Linked DNA regions of Arabidopsis thaliana. The protein of the gene in region 2 purifies or fractionates together with the protein of the main gene of each other region. This does not show direct contact. Each region holds a gene or a part of one and is shown on either strand. Other genes may lie near its edges.

Region 1 (5,264 bases), about 23 Mb from region 2:
GATCAGAAGTTCAAAGTCTTAATGATGGAAACAAGACTAAATTAGTATATGCTCTGGTTTCTGGTCAGAAAAATTAATGAAAGACCATATTTATTTTAGTGACCAAAGAAAAATACTATATATGTGGTAGCACTAACTCACTGAATACCACTAAATCGTGTATAACGACATTAATATAAGCTATTAAAGACGGTTACAAATCTGCACAAAACTTGATTTGTCTTAAAACTCAGTTGATGTTATTTGCATTCGCAAATGCAAATTTCATTTAAAAAATAATGTAGCAGATTGAGATATCAGACTTCGTATTATACTACAGATGTAGTAGCTGAAGATTCAGTTACGTTATCCAACATGAAAAAAGTACAAAGAGTTGTTTGGATTTTAAAATCAGAATAACAAAATTGTTTCCTTTCATCTAATACTTAAAGGATAAAATTGAATATGTAAGAGTTTTTGCAGATATAATAACACTGTGTTACTGATCTCATACCCATAAATTACTTCAAGGGACATAACTCCAAAAATATATTTTGCTGACTGCAGAGATAAGGGTGAAATGCAAATGTGGATTTGATGGCCAATGTGCTAAATAGCACCAATGATATTAGGAAAGGATGAACAGTAATAATTTCTGCAAAAACAGAGGAATGACCATTCGGTGTCTTTTTTGTTGTGGTCCTATTTTTGCCTCATAAGCATGGATGGTTCAAGAGAGCAAAAACTTCATTGATTTGAAGATTGAACACAAAGACAAATATGAACAGAGAAAACTATTTTTATTTCATTTTACAACGAACACCAAGAGGTAGTTGCTTATCGATTACATTCATTAAAACACAAAAACACGATCACAAACAAACTCAAGCGACTTGAACTTGTATAGTCTTTGGTTTCTTTGGCTCAGGAGGAGGAAGTTTCGGAATAGTCACTTTCAACACACCGTCATTACAAGCCGCAGAGATCTTCTCCAAATCTGCATTATCAGGTAACTGAAACTTCCTCATAAACTTCCCCATCCTCCTCTCCATCCTCACAAACTTCACACCTTCATTCTCCTTGTTGTCCCTCTGTCTTTTGCCACTCACCACAAGCACGTTCTCGTTCTCTATCTGGACCTGAATCTCATCTCCTTTGATTCCAGGCATGTCCACGGCGAAAACGTACGCATCCGGGTGCTCGATAACGTCAGCTGGTGTAGCAGCCATTGCCTTTGCGTCTCGCATGTAAGCTCTTGAAGGGTTGTTACGAGTCTTCTCGGTTTGTTCTTCAGGGGCTTCAAGCATGTCTTCGAGGATTGAAAATATTGGAAACCTTCCAAACTCCAAATCCATTCTTAGCTGTTGTGTTAACTTTCTTGCTTCTTGGCTTTTTCTTTGGTTTGATTGATTTTGATTTTGATGTAAGAAAGTATTAAATAGAAGTTGAGTTGGATAGTTCTAGAGCAATGTAGAGAGAGCGATTGTTTCGGTGTTATAGAACTTAAAAGCGCTTCTCTAACGTTCGAGAAACGTCTTGATCGTTGGAGAAGTGTAGATGGATATTTCTAGACGAATGTAGAGAAAAGCGATTGATTCGGTCAGGCCCAAGACCAATTCGTTTTCAGGCCCATATGTATTCTGTTTTGGATTTAGTAAGGATGTTAAATTTATCCGGTTTGGTACGATTTCATTCGAATTTAGTGTATAAAATTGATTGAACCGCGTCAATACGGTTGAAACGCAAACGCAGAGGATTCATGAGTCATGGCTTTTGTGAGGTGAAGTATCAATATCATCTACCTACCTATATGATCATCGGACTAAAGTGAAATGAAGTCAGCAATTTCATCGTCACTCTTCTTCAATTCGAAGAATCTTTTAAACCCTAATCCTCTTTCTCGCTTCATTTCTCTCAAATCTAACTTCCTCCCTAAATTATCTCCGAGATCGATCACTAGTCACACCTTGAAGCTCCCATCTTCGTCAACCTCAGCTTTAAGATCCATTTCCTCTTCCATGGCTTCTTCTTTCAACCCTGAACAAGCTAGAGTTCCCTCTGCTCTTCCTCTCCCAGCTCCTCCGTTGACCAAAGTTAGCTCCTTTCTTTTCATTTACCTTTGGGTTTTCAATCATTTCAGCTTTTGATTGATTTCTTCGTTCCATGGGTAATTTTGTAGTTCAACATCGGATTGTGTCAGCTATCTGTTACATCTGACAAAAAGAGAAACATCTCTCATGCTAAAAAAGCCATTGAAGAAGCTGCTTCTAAAGGAGCTAAGCTTGTTCTCTTACCCGTGAGTTTTTCTTCTTTGTATCTTAGCTCATAGCTCTTTGTGAGTTCAATTCTAATGTTCTGTTGCTCAAATGTGTAAAATTTACAAAAAGTATGAGCTAGTGGTATCGTCTCTATGGGGTTTAAAACCATTCAATGGGTTTGTTTCAGGAAATTTGGAACAGTCCGTATTCCAATGATAGTTTTCCAGTTTATGCGGAGGAGATTGATGCAGGTGGTGATGCTTCTCCTTCAACGGCAATGCTTTCTGAAGTTTCCAAACGTCTCAAGATTACAATCATTGGTGGATCTATACCAGAAAGAGTTGGAGATCGTTTGTATAACACTTGCTGTGTCTTTGGTTCCGATGGAGAGCTAAAAGCTAAGCATCGGAAGGTTAGATTTTTTGAGATTAAACTTTCATAGAAGAAATAATGAACTTTCCTCTGCTTTAGGCCATAGAATGAAAGATGCTAATCTTACTTCTAAAATCGTTGTTCATCTTTTATCATCTGTTTTTAGGATCTAATAGACTTAGAATCAGTAATTAGAATGATGTGGTAGTTATGTTCTGGTTCGAGTTCTTCCTCTATGATTCATAAGGACAAATTATGAGGCGAGATGGCCTTGACCGTTTTATGCTTATATTATCAATTCTCAGAACATCTTGTTTTTGATTGCTTGCACTTATTTGTGTTTGTACTTGTGTGTGCATACAGATACATTTATTTGATATAGACATTCCCGGGAAGATTACTTTTATGGAATCCAAAACTCTTACTGCTGGAGAGACACCAACAATCGTTGACACAGGTTATAATCTTGGTTTGCCAAATATAATTCCAGGTCATGCATAAACAATCATGTATCTTACATAAACTCATTGTGGTACTATCTAAAAATAATAATTTAGGATTAAGGATTTAAATTTCCAGTCAGATTTGGGATCTTCTTAGCTCAACAGTGAAATGATTCATTTTCATGCTGGCCTAGTGTTTATGAATAATAATGTTTTTAAGATCTTGCCAACTATTTTGACTGGGGAAATGTCTTTATTGAACAATCAAGTCATAGTAGGACCGTTCACATCACCTCTCACTTTCTAGTACTTATGAGAAATCTTTAACGCGGTGCAGCGCTTGAGAATGATAGTTTTGTTGGTTGTTGCAGATGTAGGGCGTATTGGAATAGGCATCTGTTATGATATCAGGTTCCAGGAGTTAGCTATGATATATGCTGCAAGAGGTGAGTCTTCATATCATAATGCTTTATCCAAATGGACTATCTGCTTCCTCTCTTTTTCGGGTCCATTACGTTTTAAAGAACCTCATCACCCACATGTTTACTTTAATCATATCAGGGGCTCATTTGCTGTGCTACCCGGGAGCCTTTAACATGACAACTGGACCATTGCATTGGGAATTACTACAAAGGGCCAGGTATGATTCACAGTCTACTACATTACGACTTTCTTGGCTTATTTAATCATGGGTAAATCACAATGCTCATCGATCTGTTTTGTTCCATTTCAGGGCTACGGATAATCAGGTACATGAACCAAGTTAAATACTTGTATTGATAGCCAAAAGAGAGATACAAGTTCTGACATTTCTTAATGAATTCATAGCAAACCTGCATTTTTCTTTGAGTTATCAATACAAGTATTATCTTCTGCTCTTTGGGGTTAGTTTTACTTAATTGACTGTTATCAAAGTCATGGACCGGTTAATAGAACTATGTATGCTACTTTCTCCAGTTATATGTGGCGACATGCTCACCTGCCAGAGATTCAGGAGCTGGCTACACTGCTTGGGGGCACTCAACACTCGTTGGGCCTGTAAGCACTAAACTTTTTCTGTGTTACTTGATTGATAATGAAGCTTTTAGCTGATCACTAAACTTTGAAACATATATATTATTTGACAGTTTGGAGAAGTACTAGCAACGACTGAGCATGAGGAGGCCATTATCATAGCAGAGATTGATTACTCTATCCTTGAACAACGAAGGTAATCACGGAAACACCAGAACTTTCTTGGTTTTTGATAGCGTGATCCGCTAACTGAATCTCGTTTTTTTTACCATCTTAGGACTAGCCTTCCATTGAATAGGCAGCGGCGGGGAGATCTTTACCAGCTTGTAGACGTACAGCGCTTAGACTCTAAATGAACGCAGCAGTAACTGTATATCTGAGAGATATTGCGAGTTGAGCACGATTTGGTTACTTACAACTTCATGCATGATCAGTCATTTCTCCACAACTTTGCTGAGATATGTAAAAGAATAAAAATCAAACTTTTGAGTTAAAATCGAACAAAGGCAAGTAAATTCTGCTTAGATAATGTGAACTCCACCCACTTGCCATGTGTTTGTTGTTTATAAACTTCAATGCATTCTGATAACAATGTAGACTTGTGATTCGCAATCAGAATAGCATTTGACTTTTTTATCAAAATATATACACTATTTTTGTGAATTTCTCAGTAAATGTCATTGTCTATGAAAAAAACAACTCATATCTTCATTCCACAACCATCATATTCAATATCGAGTACTTACTTAAACTAAAATTGTTATAACTGGTTCTTCAAATGTTCACACCTACTCAAAACGTTTCATCACATAACTCAAGTCAAGTCAAAGATAGCCATGGTATATTTTGCTACACATCAAGATTTGTAATATGCAATGTAATTTGTTTTAGATGAGAAGAAGAAAAGAGTATATAGAGTATGCAGATAGGTTCATCCACAAGCACAAGTGGGATATAAAAGATTTGAAAATGAAATAACATATAAACTTTTGTCAGCGGCCTCAACATGATTTGAAGATCCGTGGTTATTGTTGAATGATAAATGACCGGACGACAAAATGCAGTTACAACAGCAGAAGCCTTACAAGATTCACCACAGTGTGTAGTGGTTTCGTCTTTGGAGAAGACACGTGGACCAAGCCTATAGGGTAAAGAAAGACGTAGAGTGGTCCATGCTCGTCACAGGGACTCTGCGAAA
Region 2 (6,551 bases):
TTTGTGTCGAAATTTTTTAATTAACTATAATTGATTGGGTTTTGGAATTGTTAAATGTGAAATGAGCAGGTTAATAGATAAGGTTGGTTGGTGAAGTCGACTGGTTTAGTTTAATTTGTGTGGAGCTTTCTAATTTTGTTATCGATTGGTTCTAATTAGGAATAACACACACGCATGCGGAAAAATATAATATCTTATGGTTGGTTAGTGTAATATTGAACTACATAATTAGTCGAATTGGTGTGGGGCTAGTTTCTAAGCTTCAAGGTCGTAATCATAGATCATTTTTGTATTTACATTCACCGACTGTATCTTCAATTTGCATATGTGGAAGAGCACTTTTTTAGTATACGCCATAAGCAAGTGGACGACTTTTAAAGAGAGATACATTATAAAGGTCACATTTTCTACGGCCAACATTATCATCTAGCGACGACGATCGGACCAATCTAAAACTCGCTCAGATACGCAAATATTGAACAAAAATATTTGAAATTACCCCCACTTGTAGGCCTAAAAAATGCCTTGACTGATCCGAATTTACCTAAAATAAAATTTTGTTCAGACAAGAAAAAACAACCCAAATTTTGTTTTTCTAATGGTCACAACTCAAAATTGTATCTCGTGTTCTGATACCTATTATCACCGCAAAATAACTTTCACGGTCGATACGGAATTCGAACATTTTGATTTAAAAAAAAAAAATGAATATCACCAAGGCGTAATTAACAGGTAACAAAGAATGTAACAATTTCAGGAACTGATAAAGAAAATAAGAATTGTAGTGTTTTTTCCTCTTTCTATCAATTTATTTTCATCGTTTCTGGTGTAAAACGTAAACCCAGTTTCAGAACAGTCCTTTGTGCTCCATCAGCTCATAACTCCGTCTTCTTCTCCTAATTCCCTTTTTTTGGGGGGTTCCTGATTATTATTATTATTCCGATAACAGATAAAATAAAAACATGGGCTCGATCAATAGACACGAGCTTTGGGAGGGAAAGTGTCGATCTCATCGTCGAGAGTGTCCATGTGAACAGGCCTATAATCCAATCTCACTTTCTCATCTTCCCAATATCCCAATGTATGCTTCATCCATTCTCCATCCTCTCTTTTCTGCATACACACGCATTCATTTATACTACGTTATGGTTTCATCATTATGGGATAATCAATCATTGTGGAAAAGCTGAGCAAGGAATCAAACCGTGAAGTCTTCCCGAGCATGTGCTCCTCTGCTTTCCTTTCGTGCTTCTGCTGAATGCATTGTTATGGATGCGTTTATCAAAAGGTTCTCCAGTTCCAATGTCTCTATCAAATCCGAGTTCCTGCATTTTATTCATAGTTTCCAAGATTAACAAGAGTTCACCAGATTTTATAACAGTGTGATAATCAATCCCATGTGAATAGAGTCTGTCTTACCATATCATACTCCGATCTTTCACCTGGACGTCCCCAAAACTTTCCCAGGCCTTGTCAATCAACTGACAACCTGTGATTGTTTCACGGTAATAAATTGTAAAGAAAATGGATTGCAGTTGCAGGTGAGAGAATTAAATAAATGCAGAACAAGTTCAGATCACTGTTTACCTTCTTCCAATGTTTCTTGCGTGCGGAACACAGCTGCGTTGTTCTGCATAATCCTCTGCATGTTCAATCTGATAGTTGAAGTAGGTAGAGACCCGTTTGAGTTTCTCAACCTGTCCAGCCATGCAATAGTCTTCTCACCCGCATCCTTCTCAAGAGGTTTCTGTTTCTCCCCTGCACCAATCGAATAAAGAAAAAAAAATGATCAGAAGAGACTTATCTTTTATAATAACAGCAGTCCTCAAAAAAGACTAACCTGGTTTGCTTATCTCTGCAACCCTATTTGCACAAGCACGACCAAATACGACAATGTCGAGCAGTGAATTTGCACCAAGCCTGTTGGCACCATGAACAGATGCACAAGCTGCCTCCCCAGCAGCCATTAGCCCAGGAATCACTGCATCTGGATCATCGCCTTTGATGGTAACTACCTGCAGGATTTAACAGAATAACTTTCAGAGCTAGGCTTCTAATCCATCTCATGCTTAACTCCACACAAATTTCAGCAAAGTTTCTTAAATGACTTTTCTTATTCTTACCTCGCCATGGTAGTTTGTTGGGATACCACCCATGTTATAATGAACCGTGGGTAAGACAGGAATTGGCTCTTTGGTAACATCAACACCAGCAAAGATGGCAGCGGTCTCAGAGATTCCAGGAAGCCTTTCTTTTAGAACTTCTGGAGGAAGATGATTCAGATGGAGATAGATATGATCCTTATGCGGTCCTGGAAGATATCAGCAAAAAGTTGTCCAGGGTGAGAATCAAACTAGACTGATCACAATATCAAAGCATATCATGTAATGAGAGTTCACTCTGAAAATAAGAAGTAGTTTTCAGTGGAACATACCTACACCACGACCTTCCCTGATTTCCATAGTCATGGATCTGGAGACAACATCTCTTGATGCAAGATCCTTGGCTGTAGGAGCATATCGTTCCATAAAACGTTCACCTTCACTGTTTCTAAGGATACCACCTTCACCTCGAGATCCTGCAATTGTTTAAACACCAAATTTTTTTTGTGAAAAACACATTAAATTTTATATTGCAAACAAATTCGAGTATGTGAGAACATGATACTAACCTTCGGTGATGAGACATCCGGCCCCATATATACCAGTTGGATGGAATTGAACAAACTCCAAGTCCTGCATAAATTTATTAAATATAAGATTATTAGCATACAAATTACAGACAAATACATCATACACAATTTTGAATAAAAACGAAACAGGTGGAAAACCTGCAGTGGAAGACCGGCCCGTGCAACCATTGCATTTCCATCCCCTGTGCATGTATGTGCTGAGGTTGCAGAGAAGTATGCTCTGCCGTACCCCTGGAAAAACATTAGCCACCAGGTGAGCATATTTTCGTTATTGCAAAAAATCGTATCATATAGAAACTAGCTCACCCCAGTTGCCAAAATTGTTTGAGAAGAACGGAAACGATGCAATGTTCCATCTTCCATGTTTAGTGCAATTACACCCTGGCAACTGCCTGCATATCAGATAGAAATGTTGCATTAACTTCAAAGTCGCTTTCCCTTAAATCGATCAATAAGATCCATCCAACCACCTCATAAAATCAACTACTAGTTCTGAATTCTACTGACATCACCCCTCCACCAAATTGGCAAATACTAATAGAAGCGACAGTAAAAGGAGAATAACTTTGATTAACTTACCATCACTAGCCATGAGCAGATCCAAGGCGAAGTATTCAACAAAGAACTGTGTGTTATGCTTCATAGCTTGTCCATAGAGAGTATGCAACAGAGCATGACCAGTCCTATCCGCAGCACAAGCACAACGATAGGCCTGACCACCTGAAGCAGAAAAATAGGAAAGCCAATATGAGAGACCTATTAAAAAACAAAGTAAATAGGAATATCAATAATAGCAAGACATCAGACAACTCACCTTTTCCAAAGTCAAGACTCTGACCACCAAATGCACGCTGGTAAATTTTCCCTTCTTCAGTACGAGAGAAAGGCAGCCCATAATTCTCAAGTTCAATGACTGCTTTTGGTGCCTCTCTACACATGTACTGGATAGCATCTTGATCACCTACACAAAGAAATAAACAAGAAAGAACTCACTAATCAATTCACTAAACCACATCACATAAGAGCTACAAAAAGCAAAAAAAAACATTTCACTAAAAAAAGAGAAGAAACAAAAGGAAGACTAAGATTACCTAGCCAGTCACTTCCTTTGACAGTGTCATACATGTGCCATCTCCAGTCATCTTCGGACATATTTCCCAGTGCAGCATTAATACCACCCTTGACAGTTTTTTCGACAACATAATCTCAATCAAAAAGAAACAAAACTATATTTAAAAATCGACAGTATAAGGAGATTAGTAACGAAAAATACCTGAGCAGCAACAGTATGTGACCTTGTGGGGAAAAGCTTAGTAATGCAAGCGGTGTTAAAGCCATGCTCCGATAACCCAATCGCCGCCCTAAGACCAGCACCACCAGCTCCCACCACAACCGCATCATAAGTGTGATCCACTATCGTATAAGAGGATCTCGTATCGGTCTACTCAACAGATAACCAAAATAAACACCACAAAACAAATCGATCAAAATTTTCCCCGATTTTCAACAATTTGCTCGACTACTAACGCATTTGAATGGCGGATAAAACTATGATTCGTGAATTACATAAGATCGAATTAGAAAATAAACAAAACGGAAGGAGAAGGAAGAGAGATCATACAGAACCAGTGGAGAAGAATCTGGAAAAGCGAGATCCAGAGACGCCATCAAAGAGTGAAGAGGTCTTTGAAGCAGGAGCTCGAAAGCCACGAGAGACGCAGCGCCACATCGTCTTGTTGTTGATTCCACAAGCGAGTCAGTTTCTTCGATGCAAATCTCCGTAGAAGAAATGAGAGAATACGAATTTCGCGTAGAGGAGGTTTCCTTTAAGAGGAAGACGCGAACGGAGTGAGAGATAGCCACCGAGGCGCTTAAAATAAGAAAAATGGAAAACGATGATGACTTCTCTTAAATTCCCTTAATTACCCCTATTCTCACTCCATATTTACTCCTAAACCGGGTTTGCTTTACTAACTAAAACCCCCTAAGATTAGCTCTTGTAATGGTCAAATTGTCAATAATACCCCACTGCATACTTTTACCCAAATGTTTGGTGCCTGCCCCATTCATTCTTGTCGGCGTCTCGTGTTCATGTTTTAGTCCATTAGATGCAAAACCGATAAAACTAAATATTTACTATTTACAAGAATAGACATCAACAAATCCGATGTCGTCCAGCGGTTAGGATATCTGGCTTTCACCCAGGAGACCCGGGTTCGATTCCCGGCATCGGAGCTTTTTGCTTCTTTTTTAAACCCTACTCAAGTTTTTAATATTCTGTGAAACTATTGAGCCTAATCATATAAGTTAACAAATCCCAAATCCAAAACATAAGATCCCATAAGTTCGTGAGAAATAGCTCAATGCCAAAATTGCAGACTACAAAGACTATAAACGTACACAAGTCATAATATTACCGCAACAGCAAAATCAGAGGGCCAATTGTTTTCATCACATTGAGAGCTAATCACCATTAACTGTCATGTTTTCAGGGTTTTAAGTGAGTTCTTTAACTTACAAAAACTTCCGAGCCCTCTAATAATTAAATCCTCCCAGCCAAAAGTAACCGATCATGTTCCGGAAAAAAAAAAAAAAAACACAGAAGTGGTTTCAAGGCCTGGCTTATTAATGTGTCCTAACTGTTCAGGGAAGACAGCATTCCTCCCGAACTAGGCAGGACCACTTCCCAACCTGGACCCTTCACTGGAAAAGCTTCAGCAGCTTGTGTCTCTCCCGGTGCAGTAATTGTCAGGTCACTCCGGTCAAGTAACCTGTCAAGATCCGCATCGCTTATATCGGTTTGTATCAACTTATCTTCAGCAGTTTCATCTTCCTTAAGCAACGCCAGTATGTCCTCTTCCTGTGTGTTAGTTTGGTTCAAGCTGTCAATAGGAGATTTTGTTGATAATAAGTGTATCTAAAAAGGATTGAGCTTTAAGAGAAGTTAAAACCTCTAAAGGTGTTGAAGACTTGGCACGTTCTTGATGAAACTGCCCTTGGCCAATAACCACATGTTCCAGCTTGAGCTTACTGTACGCTCGTTTCAGAACCCGGGTCTGAGCAAATGTCATAAACCAATCTCATGAGGCAACAATCTCAATGGTTTGAAGTTAAGATTGATTGATATGAACAACAAAGAGTTTTACCTCTATCGACTGAGCCGTGGAAAGCCTATAAACATGAACAGGTTTCGTCTGCCCGATTCTGTGGCATCTGTCCATGGCTTGCAAGTCCATTTGAGGGTTCTGGAGATCAGACAAAACACAGTTGGAGACAACACGAAAGAGAAAGATTTTCCTTCAAAGAAAATAAATTAATTGATTTGATTACCCAGTCGCTGTCATAGAGGATGCATGTATCAGCAGCAGTAAGATTGATTCCGAGTCCTCCAGCTCTGGTACTCAGGAGAAATATACTACAGCTGCTCTTCTCATCACTGAAATCTTTAATCTGTTTCAAGGCAAAGAGAGAGAGAGAGAGACCTTATGGTTATAATATTTGGTCAGAATATTGCTTAAAAGCAACGCAAAAGCAGCATAAGCACAGGTGAAACCTGTCTTCTCCTTTCATCCAGCTTCACACTGCCATCGATTCTGCAAACCTCAAACCCCTTCTCACTGAAGTAGTAATCCATAATGTCCAAAAGTTTCGTCCATTGGGAGAAGATAAGGACCTGGTCATCAGCAAATGGATCAGAGAAGTTCTCAAAGGGAAATGAGCTACGAGCCATGGGTTTGTGAAACATACTTTGTGATTATTGGCAAATAACCGAACAAGTAATCTCTCCAATAAGCGGAATTTACCACACTGTCCAACAATCTCTTCAACAGGAGGGTAGAGATCTGTCACGAAATGAAAC
Region 3 (5,867 bases), on a different chromosome or scaffold from region 2:
ATAGGCCCATTTAAGTTGAAAACAATCTTCAAAAGTCCCACATCGCTTAGATAAGAAAACGAAGCTGAGTTTATATACAGCTAGAGTCGAAGTAGTGATTGTCCCTTAGGGGACATCCGATAAAATTGGAACGATACAGAGAAGATTAGCATGGCCCCTGCGCAAGGATGACACGCATAAATCGAGAAATGGTCCAAATTTTTTTTGCAAAATTTTCCAGATCGATTTCTTCTTCCTCTGTTCTTCGGCGTTCAATTTCTGGGGTTTTCTCTTCGTTTTCTGTAACTGAAACCTAAAATTTGACCTAAAAAAAATCTCAAATAATATGATTCAGTGGTTTTGTACTTTTCAGTTAGTTGAGTTTTGCAGTTCCGATGAGATAAACCAATAACTTTGCTTAGATCTAATTCATTCCGTTACACCTCTGATGGAGATGGAAGGTTCTTAATAATGATGCCATTTTTTGGGTAATAATTTTGAATTAGAATCAAGGGTATAAGATTCATAATTAACATCACTTAAGCAAAGTTCGTAATATACGACCACAGGATATAATTTTTGAATTCAACAAAATTCATTAAAAATTCACTGTAACAATATATATAGAACCAGACAACCAAATTTAAATCGAGAAAAGTTTCTAACTTTAGTAGAGAAAAATAAAAATTTGAATGTTTCTTTTTTTGTAGAGGTCACAAGATCACATGCCCATGCTGGCCATATCAGGGACATGGTTTGGAGTGTTCTCGTCTGCCTTCACAAGCACTGAGGCCTCTGTTGTTGTCAAAAGCAAAGAAACGCTGCATTTTGTACACACACACACATGATAAGGAGTTAGTTTATTATTCCACAGAAGCAACCAAAGGTTTTGAGTTTGTTAGGACACTCTTTACCTAGCAGCATCGGTTAAGGCGGTTCTGATCACCTTGACTGGGTCTATGATTCCAGCTTTCACCATATCCACATATTTACCTATGGCAACACGAAACAAAAACGGCAGACACTTTCAGAGATCGATGAGATTTGCGATTGATAATGTTCTCAAAGACACTAAGTTTCTAACCTTTGGCTGCATCGAAACCAAAATTGCAATCGTCTTGCTCTAATAACTTGCCAACCACTAAAGAACCATCGTAACCGGCATTTGCAGCTATTGTAAATGCAGGAGCCTACACAAGATTCACAACATCATGTCAGGTTTTACAGTTTGGGACATGGACGGAAATCTTTCATCAAGAGGAAGTTAGAGATTATTAACCTTGAGAGCATTCTGAACAATCTGAACACCTCTTCTTTGATCCTCGTTTTCAGTTTGAAGGTTGTCTAAAGCCTTTGTCGCATATAATAGAGCCACACCACCACCTATTTGAAATTTCCTCCGTTAAAGGCACATCATGTGAGCTATATCAGAGTAAATAGAGAGAAGATGCGAATAATTTCTATTACCCGGTATGATGCCTTCTTCTACAGCTGCTCTTGTGGCGTTTAAAGCATCAGTGACTCTGTCTTTTCTCTCTCCAACTTCAGATTCACTTGCCCCTCCCACCTATATAGGAACAAGGCACATATCAGCTACTTTTCGTATGCAAGAGTTTAGAAAGACCGATTGATGGGTGATTGACTAACCTTGAAGACTGCAACACCACCTGATAGCTTTGAGAGTCTTTCTTGCGTTTTCTCTTGATCAAAAGTGGATGTACTCTTTTCATTGGCTGATCTTAACTGTAGAGCATGAGAGTAAAAAGGATTGCTTCTACTGTATAAAGAATATTCTAGTGAGCAAGATTCATGTCAGAGATATTGTAAGAAAATAATCATATACCTCTTCACATCTTTCTTCAATTAGCTTTTTATCACCACCACCATGTAGGATAATAGTGTCATCACGGGTAACGGTAACCTAGTTTAAAGAATTTGTGTTAGATTTGAATCACACAAAAGCAAAAACAGAAACCAGTTATGATTTCTCCTGTTACCTTCTTCGCAGTTCCAAGCAATTCAGGGCGAATTTTTTCTAGAGATAGCCCACGCTCCTCAGAGATAACCTGTGCATAAACAAGTGAGTTAGAAAATGAAAACGTGACACAAACATAACTATTATGTTGTTTCTGAGAAATTTCTACCTCTGCACCAGTAAGAACTGCAAGATCATCCAAGCTTGCTTTCCTGTTGTCACCAAACCCCGGAGCCTTGATAGCACATACCTTAAGCCCACCATGATGCTTATTGAGAATAAGCATAGCTAATGCATCACTCTCAACATCTTCTGCTACAATAAGAAGTGGTCTACTACTCTGCACAACCGCAAACAATAAGAGAAAGAAGTGAGTAGTTTTCTTGTAGCCAACTATAGAAACCGCCAAACCGGACTTCAGAACATAGTATTCTAGATAATCAAGGGAATGCTTTACTTTCACAGCCGCTTCTAAAACTTTCAACAAAGAGTTAATGTCTGAAATCTTCTTCTCATGAATGAGGATGATGGGATTTTCAAGCTCCTGAAAAACAAGCACAGGTAGTTCAATACCCTTTCTTTCCTTTTCACACAATACTAAACACGATAGATTTCACTCACGCATTTCTGGGTCTTCTCATCCGTGATAAAATAAGGAGAAATGTAACCTCTGGCTAGCTTCATTCCTTCCACTACTTCCAGCTCGTTATCTAAAGTGTTACCATCCTGGGTATTTGAAGAATAACACAGCGATCAGACAACCATCAAGTGATCTATTATAAGGCATGAAAAGAAAAGTAAGCTTACAGCAACAGTGATAACCCCTTCCTTTCCAACTTTCTCCATGGCTCTTGCAATTAGTTCCCCTATTTCACGCTCCCCATTTGCAGATATAGTGGCAACCTATCAAAGGAACATATGCAGTAGCAGTAATAGATCAACCTTTGGTATAGCATTCACAATTCCTGACTTATGAATATGTTTCTAAATTCACCTGTGTGATCTCTTCTGGGGTGCTAATCATAACAGCTCTGCTTTTCAAATCAGAGACAACTGCAGCAATTGCCATATTAATTCCAACACGCAAATCCATCACATTTACACCTGCAGCCACCGACTTGCAGCCTTCGATGAGTATCGCCTGAGTCAAAACAGTGGCACAAGTGGTACCTATATAACGAAAGGAAGGCAAGCAGAAATTAAGACTTTACTATTATCTCTTCACCGTATGTTTTCAATAAAAACTTATCCATGATTATGAACTCAAAAGAGAAAATATTACCATCTCCAGCAACCTTGTTAGTGGCACTTGCAACCTGTTTGACGAGTTCGGCACCAATGTTCTTAGCTTTAGCTTGAAATGATATGCTTTTTGCCACGGTGACACCATCCTTTGTGATCTTTGGTCCGCCATAACTGCTCTCAATTATCACATTTCTTCCCTACACCACAGAATTAAAAAAAAAAGATATTGAATTTGAAGACTGTTTCAAAAACAATCCACTCTACATTGATCTAAACCTTGTGAGAACGAAATATATATACCTTTGGTCCCATAGTGACTTTCACAGCTTCTGCAACCTCGGATACACCCTGCAACATAGCTGCCCGAGCTCCGATCCCGAAACTGATATCCTTGGCCGCATAGTTTCTGCTACTTATAATCCGCCCAGAAACCTTCATGGTAAGAGAGAACACCAAAAGAAAATCAAAATCGGAATTAATTAGTTTGATACAGGGTACGGCCAATTCAAGCTAATCATTCCGGAACTAGAAGATCTTCTATTGCATCTGAAACCAATAAAAGCAGAGCAATTTTGCAAATTAAGTAGCTTAAGGTGGAGATTTTGATGTAAACCCTATTTTTTTCATTGCATAAACTATCAGGACTAGTAATTTGACACATTTCTAGCAATTTCTCTGTTACCAACAAGAATGCCCATAAACGAAATGCAATCAAACTCGCAAAAAGACAGAGAGAGTTCACGAAACTCACCAGTTTCCTGGAAGTAGACGAGCTGCAAGACAATCAAACCCAGAAAGAGGAAGAAGAAAATTAAGCTCTGCTCATCAAAAAATATTGATCGAGAAAAATACAAGTTTTGAATAAGTTCGTTGAATGAAAGAACGAAACGTACCCAATTGAAGAAGATAACTTTGATAGCACTCGATACATTTCCGCTTGCAAAGAACTAGAGAAGGAGACGCTTCAAGGGTTTAGGGTTTTTCTGGGGTTTCTTAATCAAGGAATTAAGTTCCAACCTCCAAAGAGTGAAACTTTTTTCTTTTAGAAAAGCTAATAGTCTGGAACTTTCTTTGTGCTCTGTTTCTGCATCTCCCATAATTAGGTTTACAGTTTCATCCGTTATCTTAGGCCCATTATGAATTTTCCAATGGCCCAAAAACTCTATGCTAACATGATTACACTATAAACTTGCAATGAGAACCTGAAATTCTCTTCAATCAACAAAAACCAAACTGAATTTCACTTAATCAAAAACCGGTTTTTCTTCAAGTAACATTCTTTTTATCAGATACAATAACCACATCACTACAGAACTCGCAAACAAATCATGAGTTTTTTTGTTTTTGTCTGCATCAGAATCTTAGTCTAGGAACATACAAGATCACTTTGACACCTGCAAGAGGGAACCAATGCCATCGGAGACATAAAACATATGGCTCTCGGTGAATCTCTCTGATCAACACCAAAACTGAGAGCTACCTTTTTGAAAGGGTAACGAATTTTAAGTTTCTAGCTTCGTGGGCTAGCACAACAGCTTAAGCTTGTATACTTCTTTGTTCTATGCACTTGTATCAATGGGTACGTTTTTTGCTGGAGATGAACCAGAGCTACTGCTGCTGCTGCTTTCTCCATTGGTTGTAACCTCGGATTGAGCTGTAGAGTTCATTGATTGGTTGCTATTTGTGGGTGGTGCTTGTCCTTCTTCCGCAAGCTTTTTGAGGAGGTTCATGACCGTTGGAATGAATTTGGTTGACAAAGAGAGAAGTCCAGGTAGCTGTTGTTGATCATAGATGAAACATTGGCATTTCGGTGAGATTATAATTGAGATCAAATGAAGAACAGGGGCAAAAGTAAAAATATGGATGTTGGATATCGTGCTCATACCACGCCGTTTTGGAATTCTCCTGAAATATTTAATTGCACCCACAAGGCTTTGGATACAAGGTATCCGACAAATAGAACTAAGAGCCATAGAGGATTTCTGCCATGAGAGATGCAGGCACGAAGAGCCAAAGTGAGTACGGAATCTTGATTGTATGAAAAAGCCGCCGAGTCAATTCAAAAGAATGGACAAGGAGGGTACCTTAAGAGAGTCATAAATTCATTAAATCCAAGAACAACCAGGGCAAGGATTGCCCATGGAGGTGGCAGCCAGTTGTTATTCCGTCGGTTAGCTTCCTGAAATCCAAGGAGACTTTATTCAGATTGAAACCTCAATTATTTTTCCGGGTGTTAGCTGATTAAAGAACAGATGAGAAAGGAGACAAGAAGCTAGAAACGACATGACCAAAAAAAGATATTCAAAAACGTTTTGTAGCATTGCCAAATTTTAACATCAGCTCATGTGAATGAGCAAACGGAAGATATGCTTGAAAGTGTGGATTGCAAAGATTACCTGTGCAGAAATGGCCTGTGTAACGGTATATTCTGTCTCGTTCTTAAATTGCCTCCACAGTGATTTACACTGCACAGGTGTGATCAACGTCTTTTCTGGTGCAACCTGATAATAACAAGGTAACAGTAAGGATCTTTTATATCTCAAAGGTGTGAGTACTAAATATGAGACCTTTTGTGTTTTCATTATATACAGTGAGTAAGGTTTTAGTCACCTTCTCCCAAGTGCTTGAGGCAAGTGAATCAATTGTGCTGATGCTCTTGCTAGTAGCA
Region 4 (6,188 bases), on a different chromosome or scaffold from region 2:
ATTGAGAAGAGTGTTGCCCATAACAATGTCATGACGAAAGATAGATTGAAGGATATGAGCATGAACGATCCTTCCCTGAATGAGCAACTTAAAGACTGTACATTTCTTCAGCAGCGTGTTGTAGAAACGTCTATCGGCGGGAATATAACTGCCCTCGAGATCATTGCTACTCGTTCGGAGAAGAAGATCATTGGATGGGAATTTTAAAGATTCGTCTTCGGAATCTTCAGATACCGGTGCCGGGAGAGAATTCAGACGCCGAGATAGCTTCAGCTGAGAGAGGAGACGAGGCGGGAAACGCAATGCCATGGTCGACACTCGACAACATCAAAGATGCTAACCGGAGATGAATTATAACTGAAAATAGTTTGGTTATCTTCGGTTTGTGTCAATGTATATAACCGGAATATATTTCAGTTCGATTTCATGGTAATTTGGATTTTGTGGTTTTCGTTTTTTTGGTGCATTTCAGTTAGTGGTTGCTTAATTTTGCTAAATCTTGGTTTAACTACGATGAAACTTGGGTATATATATAAATACTGTAATTTGAAGGGTCGGTTTATTGTTGGAGTACCAGACCTGAACCAGAAGCAATGACAAACACAAATGATGCCTTAGGAAAATTTGTTGATGCTAATAGTGTGTCTCGTAACATTGCCAAGTGTGCTCTGTTTATTGTAAAACTTTTGAGGTTATTGAGCAACAATAAGGCAAAGACGAAGACTAAAACTCCTAAAAGAATCGTATCTCTCTTCTCAAGTTAAGATGGTGATTGGTGAAAACAAAAGACAGAATTTAGTGGATCTAGTAGTCCATGCCTCCCATTCCACCCATGCCTGCTCCTGCTGCTCCTGACTCGCTTTCGTCTTTCGGAAGATCAACCACTACAGCTTCCGTTGTCGTCAACAAAGATGACACACTGCCAACAACGCAAGTATACAGTTTTAGCTTAAGACTCATATATCGAAATGAAGAAGAACATTGTTAGTTAGGGTGTTCGCTTTTTATTTACCTCGCAGCATCAACCAAAGCTGTCCTGATCACTTTCAGAGGGTCTATGATTCCAGCTTTCACCATATCCACATATTCACCTAGTTTGTTCTCCACAGTTAGCTAAATGCAATCTTCAGAGAGAACAAAAGTGAAGTGATGATGGATTGTGAAACTCACCTTTAGCAGCATCATAACCGAGGTCTGGGTTATCTTGCTCCAAGAGCTTGCCAACAATAACAGCACCTTCAACTCCAGCATTTGAAGCGATTGTGTAAACAGGAGTCTGGTAAACCAAAACTCGTTAAAACAATTTCTTGTCATCAATTATCAGATCAGAGGATTTTAGTTCTAAAGAATAGAAAACCTTCAATGCGTTCTGAATAATCTGGACACCAATCTTCTGGTCAAAGTTGGCTGTTGGAAGTTTTTCCAACTCTCTTGCTGCGTATAGAAGAGCCACACCTCCTCCTGCAAGTGTTTTGATTTGTTTCTTTAGCACATAGCAAACTTTTTAGCACTATATCAAAGAGTCTTCCTCACTGGAAGAGACATACCTGGTAAAATACCCTCTTCAACTGCTGCTTTAGTGGCATTCAAAGCATCTGTCACTCTGTCTTTCTTCTCACCAACTTCAGCTTCACTTGCTCCTCCAATCTAAACACAATTAGCTCCAGAAGTTATAACAAGACACTTACAACCAGGCTGCTATGATTCTAAGACTCCCAAAACATTATAACATGGACTAACCTTCAACACTGCAACACCTCCAGAGAGCTTAGCCAACCTTTCTTGCAGTTTTTCCTTGTCATAATCTGAGGTGCTCAGTTCAATTGCTGACCTAATCTGTTAGTTGCAATACCAAGCAATTAGAACGAACTACTTTCATACACTTCATAATTTCTTGCATACAAATTTTATTACTAACCAATTTATCAGGGTATAAGGTTAAAAATTACCTGTTCACATCTTTCCTCAATTCCTTTCTTGTCGCCAGCCCCATCAAGAATAACAGTGTCGTCCTTGGAGACTGTAACCTATACAAATAGCCAGACAAGTCTCAACTACACTTACAATCCAACAAGGATATGCTGAGAATGTAATAGCCAAATCTAGTTCATACTAAGAGCCACCATGTCTATATCAGTTAAGGTTTCAAAGGCTACCTTTTTGCAGGTTCCTAGCATGCTTAGGTCCACCTTCTCCAGATTCATGCCAAGCTCGTCTGTGATAACCTGTATCAAGCTAAGTCAATAATATTCCATTGTTGACAAGACTAACACATTACACAACAAATGTACTACCTCTCCACCAGTAAGGGCAGCAAGGTCTTGCAAATTGGCCTTCCTATTCTCTCCAAACCCAGGGGCCTTGATGGCACAGACCTGCAGGGAGGAAACTATTAATCTAAAAGCAAAGAAGTCATAGCTAAAAGTCAGGAGACGGTAGTAAGAGCTTCTGTTGTTCAAACCTTAATTCCGGCACGGAGCTTGTTAAGGATAAGAGTTGCAAGAGCATCACTTTCCACATCTTCAGAAACAATCAATAGTGGTCTTTGCCTCTGTAAGATTTTATTTGGACAACAGAAACCACATCAGATGCCTTTCACACAGCATTTACATGAGAAAATGATTACAGATTTACTATAAAGATAAAGTAGACATACCTTCAGAGCCAACTCCAACACTTTCACTATAGAGTTGATGCTTGAGATCTTCTTCTCGTGGATAAGAATGAGAGGATCGTCTAGTTCCTACATAGATTAATTCCAATTCAGTAACTTCTATAATTGATATGACACATCAAGAAACTTAATTGAGCAGGGAGTAAAAAACTTACACATTTTTGGGTTTTTTGATTAGTGATAAAGTATGGTGAAGTATAACCTCTGTCCAATTTCATCCCCTCTACAACTTCCAACTCGTTAAACAATGTCTTTCCATCCTGCAATGCATTATACCCACGTCAGAATTATGTTTTGACCAATATATAAGTAGCAACATGAGCAATCATTCGGCGATTTACTTACTTGGATTGTGATAACACCTTCTTTGCCAACCTTCTCCATAGCCTTGGCAATAAGTTCACCAATTTCCCTCTCTCCATTAGCAGAAATGGTTCCAACCTGAGCAATCTCTTCAGATGTGCTGATCATCCTAGCCTTGCTTTTAAGGTTTGTCACCACAGCATCAACTGCCATGGAAATACCTCTTCGCAAGTCCATTGCATTCATTCCTGCGGCAACTGATTTGCATCCTTCGGCAAATATAGCCCGGGTGAGGACAGTAGCACAAGTAGTACCTGCATGACAAGTTAAACAAGCATTGGTACATAGTTTTGCAAAGTTTCTACAACTATGAACCGCATAATCAATCAAAATGAAATATCTTACCATCACCAGCAACATCATTAGTAGCATTTGCAACCTGCTTCACAAGACTAGCACCAACGTTCTTAATTTTGTCTTTGAACTCAATACTTTTGGCAACAGTAACACCATCTTTTGTCACTTTAGGAGCACCCCAACTTTGCTCAATCACAACATTACGTCCCTTCAAAATTAGAATCACATAAAGCAGAAAGTCTTAGACCAAATTCGATACAGAATCAACCGGTCACCCAAATCACATGCTAAGGAAGGAACCTCTGGCCAAATCATGTCCAAATCAAATCAAAATGTGTAGAAGAAAAAGAGTACCTTGGGACCCATGGTGACTTTAACAGCATCAGCAAGATCTTCAACACCCTTAAGCATCAAAGCTCGAGCTTCAACACCAAACTTAATCTCTTTCGCTGCATAGTTCCTGCTCCAGCTCATTCTGCTGGAAACCTGGCGAGCGTTTTGAGCAATCCTGAAGAACAGAGAACAATAAAGACACCATTTTTATTATCAGAACTGGCAATTCAGAATCGGGATTAAGCTAGTAGATTTCGAGAGCCCAGATGAATTTGAAGAGAGTAGATCAAAACCCAAATCGATTTAATTCCTCATTAGCTTCCAATGAGAGTGAATAAAAAACACGAAGAAAGTGAGTTCATTACCTTGCCTTGGAGGCGAGGTTAGAAGCGAAACGATACATGGTGAGTGAGAAGGAAGAGGATTAACGATGAAGAGATGATTCTGATGAGCGAGTTAGATTAGATCAATGGAGAACAGGCGGAGAGAGAGAGAGAGAGAGAAGAAGAGTTGAGAGGGCTTAATAAGCGAAGGAGAAGAGTCTAGAAGCAGCTGCTAGTTACTATATGAGCCTTTTAGGGTTTTAGGCCTCTTTAGGGTTTAACTTTCATTTCAAACTTAAAAATCGTTAATCTCATTTGACGAAAAAAAAAAAAAAAAAAGTCGTTAATCTCATTTTCCAATTTAATTTCTGTAATATTTTTTGCCCCAAAGAAACAGATTTCATTTTTTCATCTTTTGATAACCAGCATTTGTGATTTTGCCATAATATACATGTCAAATTTTATATAGCGTTTAACCAAAAAATAAAATAAAATTATATCGCTTGATCTAAATATCCTTGAATCTAATCAAACTGAACCACACCAAACCAAAGAAAACCAACGGTAATTAAATGGTTCCGGTTGGATTAGGTTTTTGGTTTAGGTTTGCTTCAGCTCTACAAAACAAATCGGTGTTTCGAGTTTTTTAAATTGAATTTGTTCTCTAAAATCAGTGGCAATTTGTGTAATATTTTACCTCAGTAAAAGTTTCTTAAATACGCAAAGATAAAAACTGATAATATGAAATAGAACTCCAAAAGAAATCCAAAATCCAAACAATGCAAACAAAAAAGTGAACCAAACCCCATAATAAACACCTAGATGATACCAAAAGGTTGACCTTGCTTCACTTTTTTTCTTCATTACTTTGCTCTTTTAGTTGTCCTAAAGTAGAGGAATTTGAAGCTTCTATTGATATTAAAATTTGTCAATTTCTCTCTTTAAAAACATGAGTAATTTGGTGGGCTGTCGTCATGTTCCACGGGCCACATGGATGCTCCTATTTATTTTCTTTACCTGTCATATGTGTCCATCACGACTCATTTCTCTCCATTTTTTTTTCTCTTAATTTTCTTACTACCTAAACATTCTCTCTTATTTTTCAAAAAATACAACAGACTATGAACAAATACATTACACACTTCTTATACATTTTTAAAATCAAAAGCTACATGAAATCTAAATTTCACCAAACAAACAATGAGTGAACGTTAAAAAAAAATTGCAACCAAACAAAGAAAAAAAAAAACGAGTAAAAACGTTTAATTCAAAGCAGAGAAGGGGAAAATAAAAAGAAAGGGATCTGTTAAAAAGAGATCTGACGAACAAAATTAATATTTGAACTTCGTCCTCCTCTCCTTCAGATCGAAAACCCTAATTTCGATTTCTTTGTTTGACAATTCCATCGATTTTTGAACTTGTTTTCTCGAGATCTCCATCTGTTTCCTCCACCCCGAAATTTCAACGATATCTTCTCGATCTGTGCGTCAGGATCTGGGCTTTTTGAAATTTGAGTTTTCTCCTCAATCATAACAACGGCGATTTCCGGGAATGGCTTTGGCTAAAACGGATTCAATGGTAATTGAAAAAGCATTGATTTGAAGCAATTGGAGAGGGAACATTTCCCTCTGCGAGATTTCGAGTATTTTTCAATGGCATCAGCTACTAGTTCCCGGAGGCAAGAGGACGTTGAAGCTGGACGCCGTAAGGTAGATCATCATCATCATAATCATCATCTTTTGTTTGATTCTCTCGTTACTTTGAATTTGCCCCTAAAATTTGTCGGTGCTGAGTCAATTGATCATTTTTTTTAGGTGGGTTGTTTATATTGGAATTGAGATTGATGTCCTAACGCATGCAATCAGAATTGAGATTTATTCGACAAAAAGCTTGTTTTTTTTAAAGATGAATGCGTAAAATTGTGTGTTTCTTATCGTTTAATTTCTGGATTTTCAGCTTGAGCAGTTTCGTAAACGAAAAGCAGCAGAAAAAGCTAAAAAGGCATCACAGAATACACAACCTGTTGATAATAGCCAACAAAGTGTCATAGATTCAGATGGAGCTGGTGCATCTATCTCTAATGGACCTCTCAAGCAATCTGCTGAATCTACCTCAAATGAAACCCATACCAAAGATGTATATAATTTATCATTTTCGAATACAGCAATGGATGATGGAAGCAAAGAAAGAAGTAGACA

Evidence for each region.
Region 1: the proteins of SDH1-1 (region 2) and AT5G12040 purify together in Arabidopsis thaliana (affinity purification with mass spectrometry, with the first as the bait; one large-scale study listed by BioGRID). This does not show direct contact.
Region 3: the proteins of SDH1-1 (region 2) and HSP60-3A purify together in Arabidopsis thaliana (affinity purification with mass spectrometry, with the first as the bait; one large-scale study listed by BioGRID). This does not show direct contact.
Region 4: the proteins of SDH1-1 (region 2) and HSP60 purify together in Arabidopsis thaliana (affinity purification with mass spectrometry, with the first as the bait; one large-scale study listed by BioGRID). This does not show direct contact.

What each region holds. Positions count from the first base shown.
Region 1 is NC_003076.8:3,883,351-3,888,614, forward strand, and holds AT5G12040 (Nitrilase/cyanide hydratase and apolipoprotein N-acyltransferase family protein), read left to right. Parts: upstream 1-1,598; 5' UTR 1,599-1,811; coding exon 1,812-2,072; intron 2,073-2,158; coding exon 2,159-2,275; intron 2,276-2,424; coding exon 2,425-2,649; intron 2,650-2,972; coding exon 2,973-3,066; intron 3,067-3,423; coding exon 3,424-3,498; intron 3,499-3,613; coding exon 3,614-3,692; intron 3,693-3,785; coding exon 3,786-3,801; coding exon of another isoform or gene 3,802-3,819; exon of another isoform or gene 3,820-4,009; coding exon 4,010-4,090; intron 4,091-4,179; coding exon 4,180-4,262; intron 4,263-4,343; coding exon 4,344-4,422; 3' UTR 4,423-4,727; downstream 4,728-5,264. Other genes in the region: HSP17.6A (heat shock protein 17.6A), read right to left, coding at 864-1,334. UniProt on the Arabidopsis thaliana protein: Omega-amidase involved in the metabolism of asparagine. Probably also closely coupled with glutamine transamination in the methionine salvage cycle.
Region 2 is NC_003076.8:26,651,646-26,658,196, reverse strand, and holds SDH1-1 (succinate dehydrogenase 1-1), read right to left. Parts: upstream 4,591-6,551; 5' UTR 4,422-4,590; coding exon 4,314-4,421; intron 4,134-4,313; coding exon 3,966-4,133; intron 3,872-3,965; coding exon 3,784-3,871; intron 3,654-3,783; coding exon 3,507-3,653; intron 3,413-3,506; coding exon 3,272-3,412; intron 3,085-3,271; coding exon 2,999-3,084; intron 2,924-2,998; coding exon 2,831-2,923; intron 2,736-2,830; coding exon 2,672-2,735; intron 2,579-2,671; coding exon 2,435-2,578; intron 2,312-2,434; coding exon 2,124-2,311; intron 2,016-2,123; coding exon 1,841-2,015; intron 1,759-1,840; coding exon 1,588-1,758; intron 1,490-1,587; coding exon 1,420-1,489; intron 1,326-1,419; coding exon 1,205-1,325; intron 1,114-1,204; coding exon 973-1,113; 3' UTR 501-972; downstream 1-500. Other genes in the region: CHR1 (chromatin remodeling 1), read right to left, coding at 5,328-5,552, 5,644-5,748, 5,839-5,937, 6,023-6,142, 6,246-6,365, 6,440-6,534. UniProt on the Arabidopsis thaliana protein: Flavoprotein (FP) subunit of succinate dehydrogenase (SDH) that is involved in complex II of the mitochondrial electron transport chain and is responsible for transferring electrons from succinate to ubiquinone (coenzyme Q).
Region 3 is NC_003074.8:4,561,004-4,566,870, forward strand, and holds HSP60-3A (heat shock protein 60-3A), read right to left. Parts: upstream 4,333-5,867; 5' UTR 4,131-4,332; coding exon 4,093-4,130; intron 3,973-4,092; coding exon 3,951-3,972; intron 3,632-3,950; coding exon 3,500-3,631; intron 3,397-3,499; coding exon 3,237-3,396; intron 3,125-3,236; coding exon 2,949-3,124; intron 2,858-2,948; coding exon 2,762-2,857; intron 2,681-2,761; coding exon 2,576-2,680; intron 2,499-2,575; coding exon 2,412-2,498; intron 2,295-2,411; coding exon 2,124-2,294; intron 2,046-2,123; coding exon 1,977-2,045; intron 1,901-1,976; coding exon 1,823-1,900; intron 1,723-1,822; coding exon 1,627-1,722; intron 1,547-1,626; coding exon 1,447-1,546; intron 1,363-1,446; coding exon 1,259-1,362; intron 1,170-1,258; coding exon 1,064-1,169; intron 973-1,063; coding exon 894-972; intron 801-893; coding exon 701-800; 3' UTR 514-700; downstream 1-513. Other genes in the region: AT3G13857 (uncharacterized protein), read left to right, coding at 168-296; RHD3 (Root hair defective 3 GTP-binding protein (RHD3)), read right to left, coding at 4,759-4,974, 5,085-5,181, 5,284-5,378, 5,596-5,700, 5,810-5,867.
Region 4 is NC_003074.8:8,666,895-8,673,082, reverse strand, and holds HSP60 (heat shock protein 60), read right to left. Parts: upstream 4,312-6,188; 5' UTR 4,071-4,311; coding exon 4,033-4,070; intron 3,843-4,032; coding exon 3,689-3,842; intron 3,543-3,688; coding exon 3,383-3,542; intron 3,292-3,382; coding exon 3,020-3,291; intron 2,935-3,019; coding exon 2,830-2,934; intron 2,744-2,829; coding exon 2,657-2,743; intron 2,552-2,656; coding exon 2,462-2,551; intron 2,376-2,461; coding exon 2,295-2,375; intron 2,226-2,294; coding exon 2,157-2,225; intron 2,028-2,156; coding exon 1,950-2,027; intron 1,837-1,949; coding exon 1,741-1,836; intron 1,648-1,740; coding exon 1,548-1,647; intron 1,462-1,547; coding exon 1,358-1,461; intron 1,277-1,357; coding exon 1,171-1,276; intron 1,092-1,170; coding exon 1,013-1,091; intron 920-1,012; coding exon 805-919; 3' UTR 505-804; downstream 1-504. Other genes in the region: AT3G24000 (Tetratricopeptide repeat (TPR)-like superfamily protein), read right to left, coding at 1-309; BLI (BLISTER), read left to right, coding at 5,643-5,699, 5,947-6,188.